Linked DNA regions of Danio rerio. The main gene of each other region encodes a partner of the protein of the gene in region 2 in a complex. Links are inferred from orthologs where the notes say so. Each region holds a gene or a part of one and is shown on either strand. Other genes may lie near its edges. The genes, in order: sptssa and sptlc1.

The links.
Region 1: sptlc1 (region 2) and sptssa share a complex: the UniProt entries of both Homo sapiens proteins name them as parts of the serine palmitoyltransferase (SPT) complex. The link is inferred for Danio rerio from reciprocal best matches to the Homo sapiens genes SPTLC1 and SPTSSA.

Annotation. Positions count from the first base shown.
Region 1 is NC_133192.1:11,130,265-11,134,735, forward strand, and holds the start of sptssa (serine palmitoyltransferase small subunit A), read right to left. Parts: upstream 2,918-4,471; 5' UTR 2,879-2,917; coding exon 2,776-2,878; intron 1-2,775. UniProt on the Homo sapiens protein: Component of the serine palmitoyltransferase multisubunit enzyme (SPT) that catalyzes the initial and rate-limiting step in sphingolipid biosynthesis by condensing L-serine and activated acyl-CoA (most commonly palmitoyl-CoA) to form long-chain bases.
Region 2 is NC_133185.1:5,705,634-5,710,221, forward strand, and holds the start of sptlc1 (serine palmitoyltransferase 1), read left to right. Parts: upstream 1-1,664; 5' UTR 1,665-1,683; coding exon 1,684-1,737; intron 1,738-4,468; coding exon 4,469-4,576; intron 4,577-4,588. UniProt on the Homo sapiens protein: Component of the serine palmitoyltransferase multisubunit enzyme (SPT) that catalyzes the initial and rate-limiting step in sphingolipid biosynthesis by condensing L-serine and activated acyl-CoA (most commonly palmitoyl-CoA) to form long-chain bases.

The DNA.
Region 1 (4,471 bases), on a different chromosome or scaffold from region 2:
ATCCGGGGTCACCACAGCAGAATGAACTGCCAATTTATCCAGCAAATGTTTTACGCAGCGGATGCCCTTCCAGCTGCAAACCATCTCTTGGAAACATCCATACACACTCATTCACACTGATACACTACGGACAATTTAGCCTACCCAATTCACCTGCAGCATGTCTTTGGACTGTGGGGGAAACCGAAGCACACTGAGGAAACCCACACAAATGCAGGAGAACATGCAAACTCCACACAGAAACGCGACTTTCTTGCTGTGAGGTGACCGCACTACCTACTGCGCCACCTACGTCGCCCATCTGCCATGTCTACTGTTGCAAAATATTATAAATATTTCTTAAAATAAAATAAATAGTGTTTAATAGGGGGAAAAGTTGTTGTTTTTTACTCAGACATTTAAAAAGAACTTATTTTACAGCAGCAATCACAATACTGTGATACTTTAAAATCACTGGAATAAATAATTAAATGATAAACTATTTTTGAAAAGTTATTTTATAATGCAATAACACTTCACACTTTATACTGTATTTTTGATTAAATAAATGCAGCTTTAGTGCTATAATTTTCTGTTACATCGTTCCTAAGATTTAAACAAGTTCTTTTTTTAATGTTTTTTATGCATCGTACATAAATGTGTTTTTGAAACCAATGAAGACAGCAGAATTCAATGTTTTCTTTTAATTATTAAGCCTGACATATGTAGTTCTAAAATATTATAAATGTTTTCTAAAATGAAATATCTTGTGTTTAATGGGGGGAAAAGTTGTTATCTTGACTTTTATGAACCGCGGTTTACCTTGAAACCAGTCCCATCATCCCATGCCTAACACACACACACACACACACACACACACACACACACACACACACACACACACACACACACACACACACACACACACACACACACACACACAACTAGTCAAGGTTTGGGGTCGATCTGATTTTTAAATGTTTTAAAATAAGCTTCTCCTGCTATATATATATATATATATATATATATATATATATATATATATATATATATATATATATATATATATATGGGCAATTCCATGCAAATGTCAACCTTGCCATAAAAGATAATTTAGTTTTCACCAAAATAGACAAACCGTTTCTACATTTTTTGTGTTAGCAAGTATTTTACAGTACTGTAAAAATACTCGTAAATGTATCTGTCAGTATTTCAAACTATTATATTTAATTTGCCAAAATCACACAAGTGGCTATTTCACAGCTGTCACATCCATAACGGAAATGTGTCACATCCATAACGACACTTTTTCTTCATAAATGCAAAAATGTCAAATAAAATAAAATCAATCATTATAATTTTATAGTGAGCCGATTCATACCTGTTTGATGAGCATTGTTTCTTTTGGGTTGTGCAGTTTAACTGTCAGAATTTCTAAATAATCTGTTGTCCATTGTAAAAAAATTCGCAAACTTTTTTTGTCACATCCATAACGCATGTTTATTTTCCTAATTTAAAATATAAAACATGTTTACATATTGATATTTTTCTGCTACCATAACTCTGTGGTGAGCTATTTTGGAAAATATAAAAAGAAGTTTCGATACAATGTCAACATATACTTTCTGTGTGAAATTATGTTTTGAGTTTTTACTGCAAATGTCACATCCATAACGCTGGAATTGCTTATATATATAAGGTTAATAATTTTGTTATCTTCTGCATTTACTGTAGTTATAAATTAGCTATTTTTAGTACAAACACTGTGCAATAAGTCATAATCATGATTTTTCAATTCCAAATAAACAATAAGGTACATTTATAAAACTATATTGAAATAACTGTTAAAAAAAACAGGCCAAGCAAAACTGCTGCTGTCTTGGGGCTATTATGTTTTCCAGTCTGGCAACCAAAAATTAATCCAATAATTAATGGATTAATTATTTTAATTAATACATATAATGTTTTTTTGTTTGTTTTTTTTAGCAAATGTATGCATTTCTTTTTATTTAGAAGAAAATATATTCTCTATTTGTCCCACTTGAATTTAATTTGGGCTACCAAAACAGACCAAAAGTCTGCCTGTCCAAACGGCTACCAGAGATTTTGAAATTTTGCAAGCGCTGGAAAAATATAACAGAAAATATCTTGTCAGGTTGTTTTTTGTTTTACTGTCTGTGGGTTAACCATATACAAACCCAGCACTAAAACACTGCTGTAAAGGTGTCAGGTGACATCATTTCCCAGGTGACCACAGAAAAATGTATTTCTCACGACAAAAAAAAAGGCATCAAGTAAAACAGGTTACAGTGAAACTGAAGATCAACATGTTCTCAGAAGACACCTGGAAATCAGGTCATGTTGTGTCACTGATTTAAATATCACACGTCACACCCACAAGTGCGACACACCACTCATTCATTCATTCATTTATTTCGCAAATACACACAGCTAAATACTTCCTGATTATCGTATATTAATTATAACCGATAATAAAAAACAATGACGATAATAATTTAGCTTAAAAGAGGAACTAAAATAATCAGCTGTTACGCAAACAAGTTAACACACCAGACTTCCAGAAACCACGCGTGTCGGAAATACATTATGTATTTTATTTTAATAATGTCAAAAACATGTCTTTGTATTAATTTATTAGTTAGTAGTACGCCACGAAAAAACAACTAACACTTAAAGAGCGAGGAAACAACTTCATACCTTCACCGGAGATAACAAGACAGCCCAAATAACGCTCCTTACGCATACAAAACTCAATGTTTTATGATAAAAGGATACTGAAGATAGTCCTCTCCCAAGGCTCCAGCATATACAGAGCTGTTACGAGCAAATACTGGTAATAAAACCAAGATAATTGTTTCCAGGCATCTCCAAACGCCATGTTTTCTGTCGGCTCGTGTTGGTCCCACCGCCGCTCCCTTCCGGATTGGACTAGAGCGTGACATAATAAAAGTCACGTGGTAAGGGGAAAATGTTGGCACTGAGTGTCAAAATAAAAGTCCGACTGAAATCCAGATCACAAAACAAATAATGTAATAAGCTGTTTTTATATTTGTTAGGGATGTTAACGCTTCGAGCTCACGATCAAGTGTTTACTTAACCCTCATAAGGCCTTTAAAATTATTGTAAGTATATTATACTTAATATAAGTAAATATGACCTGATTTTAAAGACTAATATAAGTAAAATAAGCCAGAATCAAGTCATAGATTAATTAATGGATTTTTATAAGTTTGTGAGAGAAAAGAGAACGGTTTTGAGACAAAATTAGAAACTGAATTGATATTTTAAGTCATTAAAAGTTTCTTTCAGTTGACAAAGAATTACATTTTAGCCTGGAATTAGGTTTAGGCATTGTTTGTGAAACTGGGGTACATAAACAGAGTATTTATCATTAAAAACTAAAAATATCAGAGTCTAAAATAACCAGAAAATCAAATGTTTCTTCAATACCAGTTGTGAGAGCAACAAATAATAACTTGACTTCAAGTTTATCATTTGGAAAAGTGGCAGAAGGTAGATTTTTAGATTAATTATCTGTTGAACTGCATCCCAATCATCACAAATACTGCAGAAGATCTATTGAAACCCTCATGGACCCAATAATGTCACAGAAACCAGTCAAGTTTGATGGAAAAATCATGGGGTTACATTCAGTATGAGAGATCTGCAGAGTGGATGGTAACATCAACAGCCTAAAACAGGGGGGTCAAACTCAATTCCTGGAGGGCCGAAGCCCTGCACAATTTAGTTCCAACCCTGCTCCAACACACTTACCTGTAGGTTTCAAACAAGCCTGAAGGACTCAATTAGTTTGATCAGGTGTGTTTAATTAGGGTTGGAACTAAACTGTGCAGAGCTGCGGCCCTTTTGGAACTGAGTTTGACACCTGTGGCCTAAGGAATCAAGACGTTTGTGCTGCCCATTACATTACAAACCACAGGAGAGGGCAAATTCTTCAGCAAGAACAGCGCTCCTTCTCATACTTCAGCCTCCACATCAAAGTTCCTGAAAGCAAAGAAGGTCAAGATACTCCAGGATTGGCCAGCCTAGTCACCAGATATAAACATTATTGAGCTTTTGTTAGGCAGTGTACATAAATTTATTATATGTGTATTTAGAGGGTTTTAAAGCACAATCTGCCACTTTCCCTAACAGACCAGCCATTCATTAGGAAGATTATATGCATTTCCAGCAGCAAGTAAATAATTTACATGTCACTTCAGTTTAATTCCCATCAATATCCTCTCCAGGTACAAAAATACAATAAAAAAAACCCTTAAAGAACATATCTTAAAGCCAATAGAATCAACTATGTGGAAATATGAAATGTCATTTACATGAAGCTGATCACTTGTGTGTGTTTGCATTTTACAACATCAGAAATCAAATAAAACCCTATAAATAAAATCATAAGTCTAACCCCATTCCTTTCCCTCCAAAAAAACATCTCCATATTTACTTTACAGTAAAA
Region 2 (4,588 bases):
ACTCCAATTTTAGTATGAGATGGTTTAGAATATTAATATGTTTATCCTCGTTTTATCTGACTCCAATTATAAAACATTGAGAAAGTTATTTTGTTTCCTTTCACATTATTTTAGATTATGATTGAATATTCTCTTCGGTTCATCATTTTATGTTATTCTCGTTCATTGGGATCTCTATAACATCCTGAATCTTGTACCGGCCGAGTATACAATTTCTTAAGCACAAGCATGTCAGTCTTGGTCACTAAACAGTGGCGATTGACCGCTATCCTAAAAAGGCAGAACACTACTTACTCAGATTAGGATATTTTTTATGCGGTCCCCATAGGTCTGCTACCTCCTAAATCAGACAGAGCTATTTAGTCATATAACGATCATTACTATAGAATTAAGCAGACCAGTCGTACTTAAACTAGTAGTAACTTTGAATAATCACTATACTATCTAAATAGTATTAAAAGTTTATCGGGTGAAGGACTATCCCCTTAGATATCCTTTTACAACCTAAGTATACATGAATAAATGCCAATTTGTTAGTCGGAGCTCTAGAGACATCGTGTAACGTGCCGCAATGCTCCGTCTACCGTGTTCTAGTCCGCTACTAACCTGAACAGGGGCTTGTGGTGCTATGAAATTACCACAATCTACTAAAGATAATAACACGAACTCTGTTTGAATCATTCAAAACATAACAATTTATTAGTCAGGTAAATGTATTATGCCAATTCAATCAGTCAATTCATAAACGATCAATACAAAACATCAAATTATCAAAGATAAATCCAAGATGAAAAGATGCATTCCTGACTTTGAAATATACATAACATGGAACAAGCCATGTTATGGGCTGATCTGGTTAGGCAGAATCGCCCTGAGTTTTTCTCAACCCTTACCTTAAATAATCCAAGAATTCCCTCAAGGAAGGGGGTGTGAAAAAAGGCATTCACACTTAGTGTAAAAGTCACACCCCTCACAGTGGTTCAAAAGATGCCTGTAGTTCTATATTTATTATTCTGATTATGTCTATTTCTGGGAGAATGAGACCATTGTACCAATCGCACTGAGACATTTCAAATGATATCAAACATGATAGTTAAAGTCAGTTTGGTTAGTCTAAAACATTGAAACATTGAAATGACCATATGTGTGACTTGGGGGGATGAAGCTGAGTCTCAGCATAGTCAGATGCAAATGCAGCAGGAACTGGTTTTTCACGCGTTCCCCCCTGGTGGGTTGTGGAGTCCATTGGCCCTGTCTTCAGCTCATGTTTTGAATTGTCAAAGATATCAGAATATTTGCAATATTTCAATTCTTACAATATCTAAAGTGGTTGTTACATTTCAAGACAACACAAAACAACAGCAACAACGGCAACACACACACACACACACACACACACACACACACACACAATACTGCATTTCCCCCATAACATTCTCCAGCAGCCTATATTAAATGTTCAGCTTACCAAACGGTATGCAACAGTACAAGAAATGTAACAAATGGTTTCTTTATAACCATAACGTAATGCTGGTTTGATGGTGACCAAGCAAATGACATCACATTCAAAAACAGAGGTGGAAAATCCGACTGACGAAGCCTGCAATGACGCTTCTCCTCCACGCGATGGCGCCTCTTTATCAATCAGGAAGTCGCGCAGAGCGATCATGTGACTCAGTCAAAATGGCGTCGGGGCAACAGTGGGTGTTGGTGGAGATGGTGCAAGCTTTTTACGAGGTAACTACAAACTTTCTTCTTTTGTCTTTTTGAGGTTTTTAAGATTTGTAAATATCGACAGACTGTTCTGCGTTTGCTGAGGTAAACAGGACTGGCGTAGGTGGTTGTATTCGGCTGTATTTCACATGTAATCTTCAGTAGTCTCATAGTGTAACTCCAGGAAGTGTTAAATATGACATGAGTATCAGTCAGACAGGTGAGTTGCACACCTAATTCTACCTTTACTAGTAGCTATAGTGCTGTACCAATGGTGGTGGATTTACACAAATATAGGTTCTGCTAAAAATTGAATTATGTCATTGTATAACAAGAACACTGTTTATTTTGTTTTTATCTGTTGCCAAATTGTGTAGTAAGTTGAGGTAAAGTAGGTTTGGTATTCGCAAATTCGTTCTTTTAATGGCCCATATATTGTTTATCGCGCTAAGTTGAATATTGAGTCTGAAATAGCACGCAAGGATGACTTCAAAACAATGTTACCACTATGTAATTGACTGTAAATAAGGTTGTACTTTGATAGTCATTAACTGCTGTTGTGATTTCCCTATTTAAAATTTGCAAAGAGTATTTTTCTGAAATTATATTATTAAGCAGAAAGTCTGAATGTGCAAAAATAACAGAAACAATTTCCGTATTTTGGTGAAAACTTCATTTTTTTCATGGCAACGTTGACATTTGCATGGAATGGCTTAACTTATTTCTTATAACTGATTTATTTTATCTTTGTCATGATGACAGTAAATAATATGTGACTAGATATTTTTCAAGACACTTCTAAACAGCTTAAAGGGAAATTTAAAGGCTTTACTAGGTTTACTAGGCAGGTTTGGGTAATTTGGTTTGTTCTGTAGACTATTGAAAAAATATACAGCTTAAAGGGGCTAATAATTTTAACCTTAAAATGGCTTTTTAAAAAATGTAAAAAACTGCTTTTATTCTAGCCGAAATAAAACAAGTAAGACTTCATGTAGAAGAACAAAAAATTATCAGACATGCTGTGAAAATTTCCTTGATGTTAAACATCACTTGAGAAATATTTTTAAAAAGAAAAGAAAATTTAAAGGGGTTTAATAATTCAGATTTCAACTGTATATTTAATCGATGTACAGCTATGAGGAGGAAACAAAATCAATAGATCACTTGAAAATTCTCAGTTTCTCAAGATGTACTGAATTTTCTTCTTGCGTATTTGGTGTAAAAGGTTAATGTATGTTTTATTCTATAAGGGCTTCTTCCAAATAAAATAATTTAATTCCAAGTTGTTGTTTTCTTTTGGCAATAGGCCAGAATAACAAACATGAGGCGTTGCTGTAAATGAAAACTAGGGTTTTCATTTCTTAATATTTGACATGTTTAATATGAATATATGACTTTTTTTTCCAATTTGACCAATATTCTCTTAATGACAACATTTTTATATTGAAATTGGGAAAAAGTAATGTCATGATGAGTAGTGTGACGGACAAAACTGAAATATGCTTTGCTCAAACATGAGACTATACAGTGGAATTGAGAACTGGAGATTCTGAGCCTATTTGAAGGAGGTTAAGCTATTTTGATCATGATTAGGTGATATTTTTGTTATCAGTAATAATGACAAATTGCACCTTTTTCCAACAGGGAAAACCACCAACAATTAAGACCATGTGATTATGTGCTGTCATGGCTTTGCAATCCAAAAATGTAGTTATAATTGAAGTCAATGGGGCAAAAACAGCCACACACAGTATGTTAGAAAGAAAAATAAATAAAAATCTGATTCTGCACACAAACAAACAATGCAGCAAAGCCAATGTTGTTACTAACCTTTACATGTCCAAGACTGTAATTTAAAAGTACAAATAATTATTCCTAAACATCCCAATTTCTGTTTATTGAATGATGATTATGATCTAAACTAACTAAAAGGTTATTTCATACTGCAGCCAAGAAGGTTATATTCAAAATATGGCATGAACCCGCATTCCCAGTGGATAAAATGTGTTCAAAAATTAGAACGTTCTACAGCAAGAATTAACAGAGCTAAACCCCATACAATCAAAGCATGGTCTGATTTTATTGAGAAAGTTTTTAATATAATAACTAGATAATTCTCACCCTAGAGTTTTTCTTTTCCTGTGTATTGTTATTTGTTTATAATTTTTTGCTTTTATTTTATTATTATATTTTTATTTTATTCTTTATGTATTTTCATTTAATGCAAACCCTGGTTTTTACAAAGTTGTCGCTAGCTATGTATGCTGGCTTTGTTCTGCAATAAATAAATAATCACAAAAAAAGGTACAATTAAATCCATTTCACAGTTACCTTTTTATATAAAAAATCAGCGACATTACAAACTTGGGAATTAAAGAGTCAAAATCCTTTATTAAAAGAACATTTAGTAGTTTTGAACAGGACTAAGGATGTTTAATATATCTCTGGAAAAAAATTAAGAAATACCTATATATCTGATACATTTTTACAGTTTAATTTAGCAGATGTTTTCATTCCGAACGTAACCAAAGCATTGTGAATTCACAAGGGTTAACAGGGTTTTCTTCTATCAAATCATCTAATGTATATTGTATGTATTTAATATGATATGTATATGGCTATAATATGAAATCCATCAATGATTTCTTTTACATTATTTAATTTGTCGCCATTTTATACAATTTCTTATGAATGCATCTAATAATCAAAGGAACTGATACTATTTGTGTGTTGTTGTTGTTGTTGTTTTTTCTAGGCCCCAGCATATCACTTAATTTTAGAAGGTTTTCTCATTTTATGGATTATCCGACTGCTGTTTTCCAAAACGTATAAACTTCAGGAGAGATCAGACCTCACAGAAAAGGTGAGAGATGGA